2 linked regions of the Xenopus tropicalis genome follow. The main gene of each other region encodes a partner of the protein of the gene in region 2 in a complex. Links are inferred from orthologs where the notes say so. Each region holds a gene or a part of one and is shown on either strand. Other genes may lie near its edges.

Evidence for each region.
Region 1: lamtor1 (region 2) and lamtor5 share a complex: the UniProt entries of both Homo sapiens proteins name them as parts of the ragulator complex. The link is inferred for Xenopus tropicalis from reciprocal best matches to the Homo sapiens genes LAMTOR1 and LAMTOR5.

The regions. Positions count from the first base shown.
Region 1 is NC_030678.2:72,302,691-72,313,200, forward strand, and holds lamtor5 (ragulator complex protein LAMTOR5), read right to left. Parts: upstream 6,328-10,510; 5' UTR 6,236-6,327; coding exon 6,201-6,235; intron 5,849-6,200; exon of another isoform or gene 5,681-5,848; intron 5,651-5,680; exon of another isoform or gene 5,610-5,650; coding exon of another isoform or gene 5,578-5,609; intron 4,168-5,577; coding exon 4,106-4,167; intron 2,759-4,105; coding exon 2,641-2,758; intron 369-2,640; coding exon 308-368; 3' UTR 54-307; downstream 1-53. UniProt on the Homo sapiens protein: As part of the Ragulator complex it is involved in amino acid sensing and activation of mTORC1, a signaling complex promoting cell growth in response to growth factors, energy levels, and amino acids.
Region 2 is NC_030678.2:178,919,676-178,930,115, forward strand, and holds the start of lamtor1 (ragulator complex protein LAMTOR1), read right to left. Parts: upstream 5,895-10,440; 5' UTR 5,792-5,894; coding exon 5,750-5,791; intron 1-5,749. UniProt on the Homo sapiens protein: Key component of the Ragulator complex, a multiprotein complex involved in amino acid sensing and activation of mTORC1, a signaling complex promoting cell growth in response to growth factors, energy levels, and amino acids.

The sequences.
Region 1 (10,510 bases), about 110 Mb from region 2:
CGCTTCTCAAACAACTCTATTACTGCAATACACAACTACTTATGGCCATCGGATAATAAAGGAGATTTATTTTGTAAATAAGGGTAATAAAGTGAGCAGCAATGTAACAACCAGAAAATTGTGTTATTTGCCAGAAAATCAAATAATCAGAGCTGCAGCTCTTTTAATAAAACTCCTTTTAATGCTGGAACACTTGTGCCTTGTGCCATATAAAAAGGTTAGGTGAAAGCACATACAGTCCTGCTAAATAAATTACACAGATAGCAGTATTTTCAGTGACAAACTTGACTTGCTCTGCAGAGTGATGCTACGATGTCACTTTGTGCACTGCTACAGTCAGATGATCATGTTTTTGAATCATGACAATTCTAGGAGAGAAGTGAAAGAAAGTATTAAAAAAGCCATAATAACAAAATATGAAACACCATGTATCTGCAGATGACTTGTTCATGACAGTTCATGTGGGATTACAATGAGTGTAAGACTGAGGATTCTCAGATGTTTAAAGCTGTGAAGAGTAATGAAAATGGGGCATTTTGGAGCTTCATGGATGTGGGGGACAAAATTCTCCAGATTGCCCCATCCATTCATTGTTAATTGAAAGCTTCTGATATAGTTTTGTATGGGCAATTATCTCCCTAAGCTTAGCTTCTTAAAAGCACCCCAGAGTACAGTGAGGATATGCAGGGCCACTAGCAGGTAAAATGTGGCTTAACAAAATCAAAGTTTGCACACCTTTTTGACATGAGCTCATTCAATTAGCCGTATGTAGACATGATGTATAAATACTATCTGTACTTCCAGAAATACATTTTAAATGTAGTTTATTATTTACAATGGAACAATGCGAGGGAGGGATTGGATCACTGGCAGCCTAAAGCTGGCTATACACAAGCAGATAAAAGCTGTAGATGAATGCTTATAGGCCCATCCATGGGGCCCTCAGAGGGGCCTGCCTGACCGATATCTGGCCAAAAATAATCCAGTTGTTGATCAGGCAAGTTTAAAAATACCTTTAGGGCAAAAAAAAATGTTGGCTCGTTGATGCGGTCCTTACCTCAATGTCCTGCATACCACTAATGCGATCTGATGGGAAATAATCTGCTCATTGGTGGTTCTTTCCACGTTGGCCAAGCTTAAGGTAGGTAAGAAACTGGCCCCTGCAGCAACAGCTGACTATCATGTTTTACTTTCAGTTAGTGTAATGTCAGTGTAAAAAAGTTCTAGAAGTTCAAATACTGTTAATGCTCCTTTTCTAACTGAACCCAACTGAATGAGATCATGTCAAAGAGTATATTTTCCCTTAAAAAAAACAATTCCCTGGTTCATGTTATAAATATACTGTCAAAATTCCCATGATTGAAAAACTGATTGTATCACTTTAACTTCAATAAAGTTGCACAAAATTCCCTTTTGCTGCCCCTTTGTGAATGTACCAGGGAGTATTTCTTCCAAGTTGAGCCATAAAAATACCTGTGTGCACTGCCAACTTTAGACCAGTGTTAAACACAGGACAATATGAGCAACAAAGCTGTACTGTACTACTGCAATGCTCCTTATTTCTGTGTAGCCCACTTTGACATCAGCTGTGAATTACTTTGGTCAGCCTAAAAGCAATTCCTTAATTACTGTTGTTCTCCAGTATTAACATTGTTACAGTTTTGTTTTGGCAAAGCTACCCATATATTAGTTCAGCTAACTTGATTCTATACACACAATTTTTTAGTTTGTAGAAAATCTAGCATAAAACAGGTGAAAATGAATGTAGCTTGTAAATGTGATACTATTCACTAACCAGAGAATAGAGAATGCAGTTGAAAAGGTACGTATTTTGGTAGAAATAATATAAATGCAAGTTACACGCTTAATGGTAGTGTGTTGGGGTATTCTTGACTGAAAATTATCTGGGGATTTTTAAGATTAGTTGTCTAATTCCAGGATGAAAAACACAATTTTGCCTCTTTATAGGTCTCTGGTAAGGCCTCACCTTGAGTATGCAGTGCAATTTTGGGCTCCAGTCCTTAAGAAGGATATTAATGAGCTGGAGAGAGTGTAGAGATGTGAAACTGAACTGGTAAAGGGGAAGGAAGACTTAAACTATGAGGTTAGACTGTCAAGGTTGGGGTTGTTTTCTCTGGAAAAAAGGAGAGGGGGTTATAGACTGATTGGTGGTATTGTTTTTTTCCCATAACCCCAAAACGATCAGTGCACTGCACTAGAGGCCACCCCTTTAGATTAGAGGAAGGGAACTTTCATTTAGGTGCTTAGGTGTTTTTGTTTTTTTTTTACAGTGAGGTTGTGGAATGCCCTTCCTAGTGATGATGTAATGGCAGATTCTGTTAATGTCTTTAAGAGGGGCCTGGATGAGGTCTTGAACAAGCATAGTATCCAAGGCTATTGTGATACTAAAATCTACAGTTAGTATTGATGTTGGTATATATAGTTTATGTATGTAAGTATATAGATAGGTCAGTATGGGTCTATGTGTGTGCACTAGGCTTCACTTGGAAGGGTTGAGCTTGATGGTCTTTTTGCAACCCAACTTACCTAAGTAACAACAAAAAGAAAACAAGTAATGGCTTAATTATTGTCCTGTAGATATATATTCTGGATTCTCTAACTGTATGAAAATGGCCTCACCCGTTGTCAGATTCTAGGCATACAACTGGCACATCTGTGGGGTCTGACGTAAGTTTGGCTGCATACTGAGGAAGAATGGAGATCACACCAGCATGTTTATCGGAAAGGCTTCCACAACCTTCAAGAAAAATAATATATATTTTTTTTTTTTTAATACTCAACCACTAAAAGTTTGGGGGACAGATTTGGGGTTGAAAAAACAAGTGAGCAGCAGTAGAAATACTATAGTGCATTGTTTTAGTTCCTGGAGAAGTGGAACATGAAGCACTTAATACAATCACATTAATAATGCATTTTAGAAAGAAGAAAGTGTAACCTTCTAAAATATAAGCATCTTAAAATACAGACAATTAAATAGGAATGCATGCTAACCAATGGTACACCTCAAGTAATTGGCTCTTATTACATCCTACTACTGTAGTGTATAGGTCTCATGACACTGCATGGTCATGACACTGCAATGGTTCTTTCAAATATCTACAGAGACTAGGGCATGGAAAGGCAACACTTGGCTTAAGGAGAAGAATCTTTACTTTTTCAGGATTTACTAAATTGTTCATATTCTGGATACATTTTTCCACTAAAATATGTTACCCTTTATATATGTATAGCACTAACATATCATTCACTTCAGTCTGTCCCAGTGGAGCTTATTGTCATGAGAGAATTTTCATTAGCCTACCCAAACCTACCCTACACCTCCAAAAAAAAGTTTGTTTTTTTTTTTTTTTTTTTTTTAAAAAAGGCAGCCTCAAGGACAGGTTTGCAAGTGCTAAGCCACTGCTGATTTCAGAGGGAAAGTGAACCTTGTGATCACGAGTATTTTGTGGTGGGAGCACAAAGACTCAGCAACGCAGGTACAGAAGCTTCTGTTCTTGGCTTTTGGCATATATTGTCTGCTGCTGTCAGGGGCCCCAAGAGAATTAAAAACACAAGTAGGGTGGGGCTTGCATGGAGTAGGCAGGGTTTTGGACTAATGAAGCATGATGAGGGGATCAGGGGCATGGTTGTGTGTGTGCAGGCCATGGTGCCTTCAGCCCAGGTGACCAATGGATTAAAAACCTATTGTGTTACTTAACAGGGTTTACCAAAGGGGTCAGTACCCCCATGCAAGAGTCTGTTTGTTTCTACTGACTCTTTCACAGATTACTTTGGCTGCAGAGTAACAGATAGCAATCTCCATAAAAGGGAGAGGGAGCCTTCACATAAGACAAATATTGGAAGTTCAGCAGCTACACCAAATGGTCAAAGGTAATTCTCAGAGCAACGTAATTAATATAAAGCTGTTCCTCCGTTTGCTGCTATAATAGCCTCTACTCTTCTGGGAAGGATTTCCACAGCTGTTTATTTGAATTAAGCCTAAAAATGAATTTGTTAACCTTACTCAGAGTGTTCCTCAGAGTACTTTTGCAATTTACATCAATTTTCAATATTATACACAAAACCAATGTAAAAGGGTACTCACATCCCAGACTTAGCCCCTGTGAATCTGTACACAGAACTCCAACAATTGATGGATTTTTCATTCTGAAAAAGTAAGGAACGGCAAAACACTTGTGTCAAGATACCAAACAAATACTGGTTACCTATCTGAAAGCTATTTCAGCTATATCATCTCTACTAGTTCATAGGATATTATAGATATAGATTATTATAGATTAACCAAACAAATTTAAAAAGTGATAGAGTGGCCATAGCTGCCATTTTGTCCTTATAGTCAGGGGAAAAGAAAGATGATGTTGCAAAGTTTAGACAATTAGTCAGTCTCTGATGTTTCTTGTGTCAGTATTAAACAACACAACTTTTCTCAGAAATATATATATACTTCCAAATAGATGCCGGCACTCACTCACTCAGGTCCAAAAATTATTGAATATACTGGAGGAAGTGTCAGTACTCGCAGGACTTGTTGTTTTATTATATAGGAGACTAAAATTTCGGCTAGCACTCTAGCCTTTATCAAAGTGGTGAATACAACAAACTCAGTGTCTAAAAAGCACACAGTGGTGGGAAAAAGTGGAGATGACGTAATCCTACGTTACCAGACAGAGATCAAAATTATATCAAAAATAAATAATAACAAAAATTATATAGACAGGCAATAAAAAAAGAATACTAAATGGACAAAATAGAAAGTACAAGAGAATAACCACAAGGTCTAAGAAGAGTAACACTTTTTATGAAGCTAGATGTCAGGGATGTACCGTGAAAGTCAGAATATTAGAGTAAAATAGTCAGAAATATAATCAAGTGTTTAAATAAAGTTGAATCTTGGTTAAGGAATCAATAATATGTGATCGCACTGTGGGCAGATCGATCTGTGCAACCCGTTTATTAAACACCTCTATACAGATCATGCACTAGAAAATACTCACTAGCAGAGGATCAAGACCATGAATGTATTTGTTAAGTAAAATTCCAGGTGTAGAGTCAAACAAGGAAGCCACATGGTTGTGTGTCTGCTTGGACACAAACACACATCTATATATACACTTATTTACAGACCTATATGTACACACGTGTTGTTGCACATATACACATACAATTACACACATATTGATGCACATATATACACATGTGCACCTAAATATTTACTTATATATGTGTCTATATGTGCACATATATAAGCACTTTCATACACACATACGCATGTATATATGAGCACCTATGCACGCACCAATGAATACAGATATATATATATATATATATATACACACAATTGCAATAAAGGTTAGCACTCACAGGACTTTGGTTAATATTCACCAAAAAAGTTTTTTAGCAATATCTTACATGGTTTTTATTAATCCGACGTTTCAGCTCCACACAAGAGCCAGTATGCCTGACTCCATCAAAACATGCACAGCCCCCATCCCTTTCAGTTATGCCACTTTGCCCACCTACACAACTCCACTCCATCATCCTCCTCACATAACCTACCTGCCAGCCACTTGTGCCATTTCCTTACACATAACTGCATGGCCACCTCTGCCACCCAATTCACCTACACAGTTTCATGAGCCTTCTCACCCCCAATAAGGATTTACATGCAGTTAACTCATGACTCCCCAAACCTCCATGCCTGATATTGCACTGCTTCCTCCTAACAAAAACTCCAAGGCCTCCTCTGCTTTTCGAGTAAACCCCTCCAACAACTTCCTTGCAATTAATCTGTGCATCCGAATTTACATCCCCTCTTCAACTGCCTACCCGCCTAACAGCAACAACATGGTCGTTACCTTGTGTAACTAATAGCTCACACTTATGCTTATACCCCCTCCCCCAGATGCCCCAGTCTCCGAATGAACAGTGACAGTGTTCACCGCTTCCTCCCCCCACGATTTCCTCTCCTGAGTGAGATCACGCATGTAGGAATGATTAAAAATAAGAGAATCTGAACTATTACCAGCAAACTTAAAGACACGTTACGAAATTCAAGTTCTGAAGTGCATTTCTGTCTGTTTGAATTATTTCTGTTCTTTCGCTTTAAATGTCCTGATTTTACTAATTGAAAAAAACCAATTAATTTTATTTTCCTTAGTATGTGTTTACAGAGCACTCACGTATCTTCCAAATGCTGCTCCAGAGCCGCTTCCATAGCTGAGTCTCTTCTTCCTGTCAAAAAAACCTTAAAGCAGTTCCTCTTCCGGGTGTTTGCTCATGTGACCCTCCCGGTCAGCTGACTGTTAGACAGAAGGTGGGGCTAATGGGAGTTTTCGTTTGCAGTATTTGAAGCTCTGGCGCTATTAAGAAAAATCAATGAATGAAAAATACTATTAATATGCTTTGGCTTAATGGTGGTTCCGCTACAATGCACAATGCTTCATACAAAGCTAACATACTCTGAGAATAGGTTTCTTGATTACTGTTTTTACTGGCCTGACAGTAGGATTCTTGTCCATTTTGGTTTCTTGACTTCCTTTTGCAATTTAGTGTTTACAGAGGGTTAACTGACTTTGGGTGTCACGTGGGTTAATGTCCAGAGTGAATTTTACACCCAGTTCCATGGAGCTCTAGATTTGTTACTGCACATGACGTTGTTTCTTCTCCCAAATGGATGTGGTGGGCTTCAATCAAAGGAAATAAAATATTTCTAAAATATATATTAAAGGGTTTGTTCACCTTAGTTAAGTTAAGTGGCTATTGATAAACATAACCACAGAGTTTGTGAATGTGGTAAGAACTGAAAGCTCTACTGGGGCAAGGACAGATGTAAATTCCCCCTACTACTACCTGCCCAATCCTTAACTTGCATGTTATTCCTCACCTCATGCTGGATTGTTTATTAGGCCTAGGGTGCAGAGTGCAACCAGAAGCTTGACAGAAGTGGTCTTTTGAATGAGAAACTAAGAGTTATGCTATTGGACTTATGTCCGGGTCATATAAAAATGATCACTATTCACTTTCAATTCTTGTGCCACTCGGCACAAATGGTGGTTTTTGCCAGACTGTTCAATAAAAAACAGGAGAGGGTGCCCTTGCATAGAGTAGCATGCATTTATTCTAACAGGATGCTCCCACAGTTAAGGGTATGGGCCCAAACGGCTTAGTGTCAAGATTTTTCAATATTTTACGAGAAAACCCATCCTATACTAGCATATGGGAAAACACAGATACAGTTACATTCTTTACATAAGCTCACATTGCAGTCACGCTGTAATAGGGTAAAACACTACAATACTCTAGGCTGCTACAAGCTTATCTCTCTCTTGAACACTAAAGGTGGCCATACACAGGCTGATTGTAGCTGCCGGATATTGGTCCCTTGGACTGATTCGGCAGCTTATCGGCCCGTGTAGGGGCAGCAACGACTGCCTGCCCGACTGATAGCTGGCCTAAAATTGCCAGATATAGATCGGCAGGTTAAAAAATTCAGTTGGATCGGCGACCGTATCGGCTCGTTGATGTGGTCCCCCAACCGACTGGCTCCCCAGGGCCAAATGACCGAATTAACCTAAATTCCCCCGATATCGCCACCTGTTGATGGGGATATCGGGAGAAGGGACCTCGAAAGGCGAGCGGATCTTTAAGTATGGCCACCTTAAACATTTGTTTGTGGAAAAGGAGCAAGGCAACAAACAATTTAAATGTTCTGTTTTACAGAAATTACACAGGTAAATGAAATATAATTACATAAGTACTAGATATAACCAGCAGATGGTGCTATTGCTTAAAATTTTACTAAGAGCAACTTTACTTCGCTTTTTTTGAGGCTCTCAAACAAACGAATGTAATGTTACTATATTTCGTTTAGGCTTATGGCCCACGAGGAAGCTTTGCGCGACTTCGGAAAGCTGAAGCTATGTGTAGGCCTTTCCACAGGTAACTCCTACTGTTGCCGGTGGAAAGACATTTCTGACATTTCTCATGTTAAATCATCTTGCCGATGATTTATTATTGATCATTCAAAATGTTAATAACTCGCTTTAAGAAATCTTTATTTTTTTACATGATTGTGGTTCATTTTTGGAGGTACAAAATTAACGCTCACAAGACTGAAACTAGAAAGGGAAGTTTGAGAATAAACTTCATGTTGGTTTGAAAAACATAAAGTCACTGAATGAAATCTGATATGTTGTTGACTTGGTCCACTTTTTCTAACCTTGGACCCACAGTTATATAGTAAAAAACACTCTGCAAAGTTTGGAGACCCTGGTTTTAATAGTGTCTAAATGGCAGCAATTTAAATTTCCCCACTGAAAGTCAACAAGTGACATCTGATTGGCGGTTGGTGGCTCTGCCCATTTGTTCTAATCTGGAACTGCAGTTACCCAGTGACTAACTCTGCAAAGTTTAGGGACCCTAGGATTAATAGTTACAGAACGGCAGCAGTTTAAATTTAAACCAATAAAAGTCAATAGGTGAATTGTAAATGGTGGTTGGTGGGTGTGCCCGCTTTTTCTAACCTTTAGTCAAAGTCACCCAGTGACTAACAGTGGGCACCTTGGCATAAATAGTGTGAGAATGGCAGCATTTTAAATTGAAACCAATAAAATTCAATGGATGAACTGTGATTGACTATTAGTGGCCCAACCCAGTTTTGCTATTTTTGAACTGCAGTCTCCAATGACCAACTTTGCAAAGTTTGGGGACATAAAAATTGTGGGACTGCATTTTACACTTCACCATTGAAAATCAATAGGTAAAATCTGATTGGCTGTTGGTGACCCTGCCCACTTAAAAAAAAACAAAATACGTATACAAAACTTGAATACGTAGTCACCAAGTGACTGACAGTGCAAAGTTTGGGAAGCCTGGCATTAAACCAATAAAATTCAATAGGTGAAATTTGATTGGCTGCTGGTGGCTCCGCCCAATGGAGCCTAACTCTGCAAAGTTTGGGGACCCGTCGTTATTACTGTGAGAATGGCAGCAGGTTGAATTTTGGCCAAGTCAATAGGTAAAATCTGATTGGCTTTTCACAGCTCCGCCCACTTTCGGGCATCCAACAATCATCATATTTTCATTCAGGCTGACCCCATGACTATGTGATTCAAGTTTGGGGAGTGTAGCCTCAAATCTGTAAGACTGGCAGCAGATTCAATTTCCCCATTAAAGTCAATGGGTGAAATTTGATTGGCTGTTGTTGGCCCCTCCCATTTTGGGTCATCCAACAAATGTTTCCGTTTCATTCGGAGTGACCCCATTATTATATTATTTAAGTTTGTGGGCTGTAGCTTCAAAGTTGTAAGAGTGGCAGCAGTTTGAAAATCTTCCCTGTCAAAGTCAATGTGAAAATTAGGGGGTTCGGAGCAGCGCCACAAGACAGGGGGTGGGATCGCTTGGAAAAGCACAAGCAACCTGCTCCGCTATAGGGCGAAGAAGTGTGGGGAGTCCTCTAAAACTGTAGGAGGAGTAGCATTTAGAAAATGGGGAGCGCTAAGAATAAAAAGAAGAAGAAAAAGCGGAAGAATAAGCTGAAGTTGAAGAACAGTATGTTGGGTTTTTCAACCGAACATAACATTAATGTTACTATACCCAATGTGCAAGAAAAGAGAAACGGAGAAACACCATTGCTGGTGGTCCCTATTCAGAATTCAACCAACTGCACCATTACCCTTGCTCAGTGCTGTCCAACTGGCGGCCCGCGACCCCACCTGTCTGGCTGCTTTGACAACTTACCTTTGTGTAAGCTTTTTTTTGTCATTAATTTTTTTTTATTGTTTTATAGCAATCAGTTAAACATTTTACGTTCCATACATAAAGTTGCATTCTTTTTTGTTTTTTCCAGTCATTAACATTTAGGAAGTAATGTCGTGGTGTACCTTTGTGTAAGCTTTAAATGGTATCAGTACTGCCCCCCTGCATGGTTAACACCTCAGATTCAGGCTGTAAACCCTCTGTATTGTTTAAAAATGTAATCCCCTGTGTTGTTCACACCTTTTAATCCCTACATTGTTCACCCCCTGCAGTATACACTATAAAAAGAACTTATACTGAGGTGGTACTGCAATTAAAAAGTTTTTTAATATATAGTTATTGTGCAGACTGTAGGAGCAGTGGCAGCATTGTGTCACTGTAGGCTGCCTGTGTGCCATACTCTGCCTGCCCTATGCTGCCTGTGTGTGCCATACACACAGGCAGGGTAGGGAAGGCAGAGTATGGCACACACAGTCAAAGTATGGCACACACAGGCAGCATAGGACAGACAGAGTATGGCACACACAGGCAGGGTAGGGAAGGCAGAGTATGGCACACACAGGCAGGGTAGGGAAGGCAAAGTATGGCACACACAGGCAGCATAGGGCAGACAGAGTATGGCACACACAGGCAGGGCAGGGTAGGGAAGGCAAAGTATGGCACACACAGGCAGGGTGGGGCAGGCAGAGTATGGTGCACACAGGCTGGGTAGGGAAGGCAGAGTATGGCAAAC
Region 2 (10,440 bases):
CTCCCCCTATAGGCTTCCATCATAGTGTTCTAGCCCCACCCACTGCTTGTCCCTACAGACTCCCTGCCCCTCCCCCTATAGGCTGCTATCACAGTGTTCTAGCCCCACCCACTGCTTGTCAGTGTTCTAGCCCCACCCACTGCTTGTCCCTACAGACTCCCTACCCCTCCCCCTATAGGCTGCTATCACAGTGTTCTAGCCCCACCCACTGCTTGTCCCACAGACTCCCTGCCCCTCCCCCTATAGGCTTCCATCACAGTGCTCTAGCCCCACCCACTGCTTGCCCCACAGACTCCCTGCCCCTCCCCCTATAGGCTGCTATCATAGTGTTCTAGCCCCACCCACTGCTTTCCCCACAGACTCCCTGCCCCTCCCCCTATAGGCTGCTATCATAGTGTTCTAGCCCCACCCACTGCTTGCCCTACAGACTCCCTGCCCCTCCCCCTATAGGCTTCCATCACAGTGCTCTAGCCCCACCCACTGCTTGCCCCACAGACTCCCTGCCCCTCCCCCTATAGGCTGCTATCATAGTGTTCTAGCCCCACCCACTGCTTGCCCCACAGACTTCCTGCCCCTCCCCCTATAGGCTTCCATCACAGTGCTCTAGCCCCACCCACTGCTTGCCCCACAGACTCCCTGCCCCTCCCCCTATAGGCTGCTATCATAGTGTTCTAGCCCCACCCACTGCTTGCCCTACAGACTCCCTGCCCCTCCCCCTATAGGCTTCCATCATAGTGTTCTAGCCCCACCCACTGCTTGCCCTACAGACTCCCTGCCCCTCCCCCTATAGGCTTCCATCACAGTGCTCTAGCCCCACCCACTGCTTGCCCCACAGACTCCCTGCCCCTCCCCCTATAGGCTTCCATCATAGTGCTCTAGCCCCACCCACTGCTTGCCCCACAGACTCCCTGCCCCTCCCCCTATAGGCTGCTATCATAGTGTTCTAGCCCCACCCACTGCTTGCCCTACAGACTCCCTGCCCCTCCCCCTATAGGCTTCCATCACAGTGTTCTAGCCCCACCCACTGCTTGCCCCACAGACTCCCTGCCCCTCCCCCTATAGGCTTTCATCACAGTGCTCTAGCCCCTCCCACTGCTTGCCCCACAGACTCCTGCCCCTCCCCCTATAGGCTTCCATCACAGTGCTCTAGCCCCACCCACTGCTTGCCCCACAGACTCCTGCCCCTCCCCCTATAGGCTTCCATCACAGTGCTCTAGCCCCACCCACTGCTTGCCCCACAGACTCCCTGCCCCTCCCCCTATAGGCTTCCATCATAGTGTTCTAGCCCCACCCACTGCTTGCCCCACAGACTCCCTGCCCCTCCCCCTATAGGCTTCCATCACAGTGTTCTAGCCCCACCCACTGCTTGCCCCACAGACTCCCTGCCCCTCCCCCTATAGGCTTCCATCACAGTGTTCTAGCCCCACCCACTGCTTGCCACACAGACTCCTGCCCCTCCCCCTATAGGCTTCCATCACAGTGCTCTAGCCCCACCCACTGCTTGCCACACAGACTCCCTGCCCCTCCCCCCTATAGGCTTCCATCACAGTGTTCTAGCCCCACCCACTGCTTGCCCTACAGACTCTCTGCCCCTCCCCCTATAGGCTTCCATCATAGTGTTCTAGCCCCACCCACTGCTTGCCCCACAGACTCCCTGCCCCTCCCCCTATAGGCTTCCATCACAGTGCTCTAGCCCCACCCACTGCTTGCCCCACAGACTCCCTGCCCCTCCCCCTATAGGCTTCCATCACAGTGCTCTAGCCCCACCCACTGCTTGCCCCACAGACTCCCTGCCCCTCCCCCTATAGGCTGCTATCATAGTGTTCTATCCCCACCCACTGCTTGCCCTACAGACTCCCTGCCCCTCCCCCTATAGGCTTCCATCACAGTGTTCTAGCCCCACCCACTGCTTGCCACACAGACTCCCTGCCCCTCCCCTTATAGGCTTCCATCACAGTGTTCTAGCCCCACCCACTGCTTGCCCCACAGACTCCCTGCCCCTCCCCCTATAGGCTTCAATCACAGTGTTCTAGCCCCACCCACTGCTTGCCCTACAGACTCCCTGCCCCTCCCCCTATAGGCTTCCATCACAGTGTTCTAGCCCCACCCACTGCTTGCCACACAGACTCCCTGCCCCTCCCCCTATAGGCTTCCATCACAGTGTTCTAGCCCCACCCACTGCTTGCCCCACAGACTCCCTGCCCCTCCCCCTATAGGCTTCCATCATAGTGTTCTAGCCCCACCCACTGCTTGCCACACAGACTCCCTGCCCCTCCCCCTATAGGCTTCCATCACAGTGTTCTAGCCCCACCCACTGCTTGCCACACAGACTCCCTGCCCCTCCCCCTATAGGCTTCCATCACAGTGCTCTAGCCCCACCCACTGCTTGCCACACAGACTCCCTGCCCCTCCCCCTATAGGCTTCCATCACAGTGTTCTAGCCCCACCCACTGCTTGCCACACAGACTCCCTGCCCCTCCCCCTATAGGCTTCCATCACAGTGTTCTAGCCCCACCCACTGCTTGCCCTACAGACTCCCTGCCCCTCCCCCTATAGGCTTCCATCACAGTGCTCTAGCCCCACCCACTGCTTGCCACACAGACTCCCTGCCCCTCCCCTTATAGGCTTCCATCACAGTGTTCTAGCCCCACCCACTGCTTGCCCCACAGACTCCCTGCCCCTCCCCCTATAGGCTTCAATCACAGTGTTCTAGCCCCACCCACTGCTTGCCCCACAGACTCCCTGCCCCTCCCCCTATAGGCTTCCATCACAGTGTTCTAGCCCCACCCACTGCTTGCCACACAGACTCCCTGCCCCTCCCCCTATAGGCTTCCATCACAGTGTTCTAGCCCCACCCACTGCTTGCCACACAGACTCCCTGCCCCTCCCCCTATAGGCTTCCATCACAGTGCTCTAGCCCCACCCACTGCTTGCCCTACAGACTCCCTGCCCCTTCCCCTATAGGCTTCCATCATAGTGTTCTAGCCCCACCCACTGCTTGCCCCACAGACTCCCTGCCCCTCCCCCTATAGGCTGCTATCACAGTGTTCTAGCCCCACCCACTGCTTGCCCCACAGACTCCTGCCTCTCCCCCTATAGGCTTCCATCACAGTGCTCTAGCCCCACCCACTGCTTGCCCTACAGACTCCCTGCCCCTCCCCCTATAGGCTTCCATCATAGTGCTCCATCCCCACCCACTGCTTGCCCTACAGACTCCCTGCCCCTCCCCTATAGGCTGCTATCACAGTGCTCTAGCCCCACCCACTGCTTGCCCCACAGACTCCCTGCCCCTCCCCCTATAGGCTTCCATCACAGTGCTCTAGCCCCACCCACTGCTTGCCCTACAGACTCCCTGCCCCTCCCCCTATAGGCTTCCATCACAGTGCTCTAGCCCCACCCACTGCTTGCCCCACAGACTCCCTGCCCCTCCCCCTATAGGCTGCTATCACAGTGCTCTAGCCCCTCCCACTGCTTGCCCCACAGACTCCTGCCCCTCCCCTTATAGGCTGCTATCACAGTGCTCTAGCCCCACCCACTGCTTGCCCCACAGACTCCCTGCCCCTCCCCCTATAGGCTGCTATCACAGTGCTCTAGCCCCACCCACTGCTTGCCCCACAGTCTCCTGCCCCTCCCCCTATAGGCTGCTATCACAGTGTTCTAGCCCCTCCCACTGCTTGCCCTACAGACTCCCTGCCCCTCCCCCTATAGGCTTCCATCACAGTGCTCTAGCCCCACCCACTGCTTGCCCTACAGACTCCCTGCCCCTCCCCCTATAGGCTGCTATCACAGTGCTCTAGCCCCACCCACTGCTTGCCCCACAGACTCCCTGCCCCTCCCCCTATAGGCTGCTATCACAGTGCTCTAGCCCCACCCACTGCTTGCCCCACAGACTCCTGCCCCTCCCCCTATAGGCTGCTATCACAGTGTTCTAGCCCCTCCCACTTCTTGCCCTACAGACTCCCTGCCCCTCCCCCTATAGGCTGCTATCACAGTGCTCTAGCCCCACCCACTGCTTGCCCCACAGACTCCCTGCTCCTCCCCCTATAGGCTGCTATCAAGGTGTTCTAGCCCCACCCACTGCTTGTCCTACAGACTCCCTGCCCCTCCCCCTATAGGCTTCCATCACAGTGTTCTAGCCCCACCCACTGCTTGTCCTACAGACTCCCTGCCCCTCCCCCTATAGGCTGCTATCACAGTGCTCTAGCCCCACCCACTGCTTGCCCCACAGACTCCCTGCCCCTCCCCCTATAGGCTGCTATCACAGTGCTCTAGCCCCACCCACTGCTTGCCCCACAGTCTCCTGCCCCTCCCCCTATAGGCTGCTATCACAGTGCTCTAGCCCCACCCACTGCTTGCCCCACAGACTCCCTGCCCCTCCCCCTATAGGCTGCTATCAAGGTGTTCTAGCCCCACCCACTGCTTGTCCTACAGACTCCCTGCCACTCCCCCTATAGGCTTCCATCATAGTGTTCTAGCCCCACCCACTGCTTGCTCCACAGACTCCCTGCCCCTCCCCCTATAGGCTGCTGTCACAGTGCTCTAGCCCCACCCACTGCTTGCCCCACAGACTCCCTGCCCCTCCCCCTATAGGCTTCCATCACAGTGCTCTAGCCCCACCCACTGCTTGCCCCACAGACTCCTGCCCCTCCCCCTATAGGCTTCCATCACAGTGCTCTAGCCCCACCCACTGCTTGCCCCACAGACTCCCTGCCCCTCCCCCTATAGGCTGCTATCACAGTGCTCTAGCCCCACCCACTGCTTGCCCTACAGACTCCCTGCCCCTCCCCCTATAGGCTGCTGTCACAGTGCTCTAGCCCCACCCACTGCTTGCCCCACAGACTCCCTGCCCCTCCCCCTATAGGCTTCCATCATAGTGTTCTAGCCCCACCCACTGCTTGCCCCACAGACTCCCTGCCCCTCCCCCTATAGGCTTCCATCACAGTGCTCTAGCCCCACCCACTGCTTGCCCCACAGACTCCCTGCCCCTCCCCCTATAGGCTTCCATCATAGTGTTCTAGCCCCACCCACTGCTTGCCCCACAGACTCCCTGCCCCTCCCCCTATAGGCTGCTATTACAGTGCTCTAGCCCCACCCACTGCTTGCCCCACAGACTCCCTGCCCCTCCCCCTATAGGCTGCTATCACAGTGCTCTAGCCCCACCCACTGCTTGCCCCACAGACTCCCTGCCCCTCCCCCTATAGGCTGCTATTACAGTGCTCTAGCCCCACCCACTGCTTGCCCCACAGACTCCCTGCCCCTCCCCCTATAGGCTGCTATCACAGTGCTCTAGCCCCACCCACTGCTTGCCCTACAGACTCCCTGCCCCTCCCCCTATAGGCTGCTGTCACAGTGCTCTAGCCCCACCCACTGCTTGCCCCACAGACTCCCTGCCCCTCCCCCTATAGGCTGCTGTCACAGTGCTCTAGCCCCACCCACTGCTTGCCCTACAGACTCCCTGCCCCTCCCCCTATAGGCTTCCATCACAGTGCTCTAGCCCCACCCACTGCTTGCCCTACAGACTCCCTGCGCCTCCCCCTATAGGCTGCTATCACAGTGCTCTAGCCCCACCCACTGCCCATGGGGTACTGCGGCCCTTACTCACACAGAGCAGTAAAGTGAGTGAAACTGTGGGAAAGAGCAGAAAGTAGTTTCCCTTTAAAGGGCAGGAGTCACGTGATGCAGCAGGACAAGGTGCCCCATTTACCCCCCAGTGAAAGTTACTGCCCCCCCCCCAGCCCCGGTGCCTCACCCCTTTGCCGGTGTCAGTCTCCCCGCTGTAGCAACAGCCCATGTCCAACCGAACCGGGCCAGCCCGCTCTGGCCAGCCGAGCCTCTCTGTCACATGACCGGGGGGAGCCGCACTCCTTAGGCAATAGTTCCGCTTCCGGGTGGAGCCAGGGCTGCAGAGAACAGGAAGTAGGAAGCTGGGGGCGTGGCGTTACCTGGGCAACCGCCGGGATTTTCATTTTTGTTCCGTAAACTTTTGTCGCTATAAATAAACGCAGAGCTCCCACCCCATTGGCACCAGGGGGCGCTAGGCCTTCAGCTTTGGTGCCGCTTTGCTTAACCCTTTGTGTGGATGTGGCAAATTTGTTCTCTGGCCCTTATCCCTTCCGGGTTCTACAGTAACTAACAGGCCTCATACCTTCCCTAGCATGGGGGTCATTCACTGACCGGAACCGGGCAATCCCCCCACTGAGCCCTCAGCCTGGCAGGTCTGTACTTCCGCTTCCGTGCTGTTTGTGCCTCTGGGTACTGGGAATGCCAGGGGGGCTGTAAGGTGCCACAGACAGTCACTATTTATTGGGCTGGGGGGGCTGTTTGTGCCTCTGGGTACTGGGAATGCCAGAGGGGCTGTAAGGTGCCACAGACAGTCACTATTTATTGGGCTGGGGGGGCTGTTTGTGCCTCTGGGTACTGGGAATGCCAGGGGGGCTGTAAGGTGCCACAGACAGTCACTATTTATTGGGCTGGGGGGGCTGTTTGTGCCTCTGGGTACTGGGAGTGCCAGGGGGGCTGTAAGGTGCCACAGACAGTCACTATTTATTAGGCTGGGGGGGGGCTGTTTGTGCCTCTGGGTACTGGGAATGCCGGGGGGGCTGTAAGGTGCCACAGACAGTCACTATTTATTGGGCTGGGGGGGGGGCTGTTTGTGCCTCTGGGTACTGGGAATGCCAGGGGGGCTGTAAGGTGCCACAGACAGTCACTATTTATTGGGCTGGGGGGGGGGGGGGCTGTTTGTGCCTCTGGGTACTGGGAATGCCAGGGGGGCTGTAAGGTGCCACAGACAGTCACTATTTATTGGGCTGGGGGGCTGTTTGTGCCTCTGGGTACTGGGAATGCCAGGGGGGCTGTAAGGTGCCACAGACAGTCACTATTTATTGGGCTGGGGGGGCTGTTTGTGCCTCTGGGTACTGGGAGTGCCAGGGGGGCTGTAAGGTGCCACAGACAGTCACTATTTATTGGGCTGGGGGGGGGCTGTTTGTGCCTCTGGGTACTGGGAATGCCGGGGGGGCTGTAAGGTGCCACAGTCAGTCACTATTTATTGGGCTGGGGGGGGGCTGTTTGTGCCTCTGGGTACTGGGAATGCCGGGGGGGCTGTAAGGTGCCACAGACAGTCACTATTTATTGGGCTGGGGGGGGGGGCTGTTTGTGCCTCTGGGTACTGGGAATGCCAGGGGGGGCTGTAAGGTGCCACAGACAGTCACTATTTATTGGGCTGGGGGGGGGGGGCTGTTTGTGCCTCTGGGTACTGGGAATGCCAGGGGGGCTGTAAGGTGCCACAGACAGTCACTATTTATTGGGCTGGGGGGGGGGCTGTTTGTGCCTCTGGGTACTGGGAATGCCAGGGGGGGCTGTAAGGTGCCACAGACAGTCACTATTTATTGGGCTGGGGGGGGGGGCTGTTTGTGCCTCTGGGTACTGGGAATGCCAGGGGGGCTGTAAAGTGCCACAGTCAGTCACTATTTATTGGGCTGGGGGGGCTGTTTGTGCCTCTGGGTACTGGGAATGCCAGGGGGGCTGTAAGGTGCCACAGACAGTCACTATTTATTGGGCTGGGGGGGGGGGCTGTTTGTGCCTCTGGGTACTGGGAATCCCCATTGCCCCTGCGCTGTAGCTCAGCTAACTTATCAATTTGTGGGGAAATGTGAATGTAGCCAGTGATTAAAAAGTCAGCAACGTGCTGCCCATTTCTAGGCGCCATCATTGCCGGGACATTATGAGGTTAAGTGACTTTGTCCATGGTCACAAGGTAAGGGGCCCAGTGGGTGGGTGGGTGCTGCCATAGCTTGCCTTACATTTATGGGTCTTGAGTTAGACTCCTGCCCTGGGGGCTCTGCTGATATCAATGGGCTCAGTTCTGACACCTACCCACTGGGTATCCGAGCTGAGCCCCATTGATGTAGGCAGGGCTCCCAGGGCGGGAATCGAACTCAGGGCCCATCGGTGTAAGGCGGGCACCCTACCCACTGAGCTATCCTTCCTCCTCCCACTTGTAGGGTGTTTTTTCGTAATCTTGTCTTCTGCATATTGGCGGTTGGTGTATCCTAACCGACTGACTGAAACACTCAGGGTTACAGCCTGCTGCTTGCCCCAAGCCCTATATAACTAGGGGGGCTGTTATAGTAGGGGGAATCCTCCATTTATCAACATTCTCTGGGGGGGGAGTCACAGAGGGGAGAGAGGTCTTCTTTGCAGTAAAAGTGGTGGGAAAACTGGCGGAAACACTTTCTCACAGAAATCTGCCTAAATTCCAACTCAGCCGCCACTTTCCCATTTGTGGGGAAAGAAAGACTGTCTTTTAAAGGGCATTTTCCCGCCATTTTCAAAATGGAGTGAAGCTCAGTGCTACATCTCATCAGCAAACACAGATACACCGCTTACACTGACCTCAAGTCATTAATGAACAAATTCAATTAAAATATCAGTTTGTCAGAAAATATGATGAAAAAGTAACTGTTTGCGCCATTACATAAGGGGGTTTGTTTCTCCTACAGATTCCTGGACTCCATCTTGGTCCAACTCAGCCCCATATGTTGCCCCACACGTGCCTGTAGCCCCTCTCTGTCCCATCATGTTCAACCCCTTCCCTGTAATATTCCCTGTTATGCCTATAGCTCTATGCATGGGGGCCACCGATAGGGGAAGGGGGAACCCCCTGGACTTGTACTGCAATAAAGGTTAATCCCTATACACATATATATATTTATTTTTCCAAACCAGCCAGTCAGTTCTAAAACCAGCCCCAAACTAGCCAAAAGCCATTTTGGAAGTAGCCCAACCATCCAGCTGGGGTGGCTGATAATTCCCTCTGTGCCCAGTCCAGCTGGGGTGGCTGATAATTCCCCCTGTGCCCAGTCCAGCTGGGATGGCTGATAATTCCCTCTGTGCCCAGTCCAGCTGGGGTGGCTGATAATTCCCTCTGTGCCCAGTCCAGCTGGGATGGCTGATAATTCCCCCTGTGCCCAGTCCAGCTGGGATGGCTGATAATTCCCCCTGTGCCCAGTCCAGCTGGGGGGGCTGATAATTCCCCCTGTGCCCAGTCCAGCTGGGATGGCTGATAATTCCCCCTGTGCCCAGTCCAGCTGGGGTGGCTGATAATTCCCCCTGTGCCCAGTCCAGCTGGGGGGGCTGATAATTCCCCCTGTGCCCAGTCCAGCTGGGGGGGCTGATAATTCCCTCTGTGCCCAGTCCAGCTGGGGTGGCTGATAATTCCCTCTGTGCCCAGTCCAGCTGGGGTGGCTGATAATTCCCCCTGTGCCCAGTCCAGCTGGGGTGGCTGATAATTCCCTCTGTGCCCAGTCCAGCTGGGGGGGCTGATAATTCCCCCTGTGCCCAGTCCAGCTGGGGTGGCTGATAATTCCCCCTGTGCCCAGTCCAGCTGGGATGGCTGATAATTCCCCCTGTGCCCAGTCCAGCTGGGATGGCTGATAATTCCCCCTGTGCCCAGTCCAGCTGGGGGGGCTGATAATTCCCTCTGTGCCCAGTCCAGCTGGGGTGGCTGATAATTCCCTCTGTGCCCAGTCCAGCTGGGGTGGCTGATAATTCCCTCTGTGCCCAGTCCAGCTGAGGTGGCTGATAATTCCCCCTGTGCCCAGTCCAGCTGGGGGGGCTGATAATTCCCCCTGTGCCCAGTCCAGCTGGGGGGGCTGATAATTCCCTCTGTGCCCAGTCCAGCTGGGGTGGCTGATAATTCCCTCTGTGCCCAGTCCAGCTGGGGGGGCTGATAATTCCCCCTGTGCCCAGTCCAGCTGGGGTGGCTGATAATTCCCCCTGTGCCCAGTCCAGCTGGGATGGCTGATAATTCCCCCTGTGCCCAGTCCAGCTGGGATGGCTGATAATTCCCCCTGTGCCCAGTCCAGCTGGGGGGGCTGATAATTCCCTCTGTGCCCAGTCCAGCTGGGGTGGCTGATAATTCCCTCTGTGCCCAGTCCAGCTGGGGTGGCTGATAATTCCCTCTGTGCCCAGTCCAGCTGAGGTGGCTGATAATTCCCCCTGTGCCCAGTCCAGCTGGGGGGGCTGATAATTCCCTCTGTGCCCAGTCCAGCTGGGGGGGCTGATAATTCCCTCTGTGCCCAGTCCAGCTGGGGTGGCTGATAATTCCCTCTGTGCCCAGTCCAGCTGGGGTGGCTGATAATTCCCTCTGTGCCCAGTCCAGCTGGGGTGGCTGATAATTCCCCCTGTGCCCAGTCCAGCTGGGGTGGCTGATAATTCCCCCTGTGCCCAGTCCAGCTGGGGTGGCTGATAATTCCCTCTGTGCCCAGTCCAGCTGGGGGGGCTGATAATTCCCTCTGTGCCCAGTCCAGCTGGGGTGGCTGATAATTCCCTCTGTGCCCAGTCCAGCTGAGGTGGCTGATAATTCCCCCTGTGCCCAGTCCAGCTGGGGGGGCTGATAATTCCCTCTGTGCCCAGTCCAGCTGGGGGGCTGATAATTCCCTC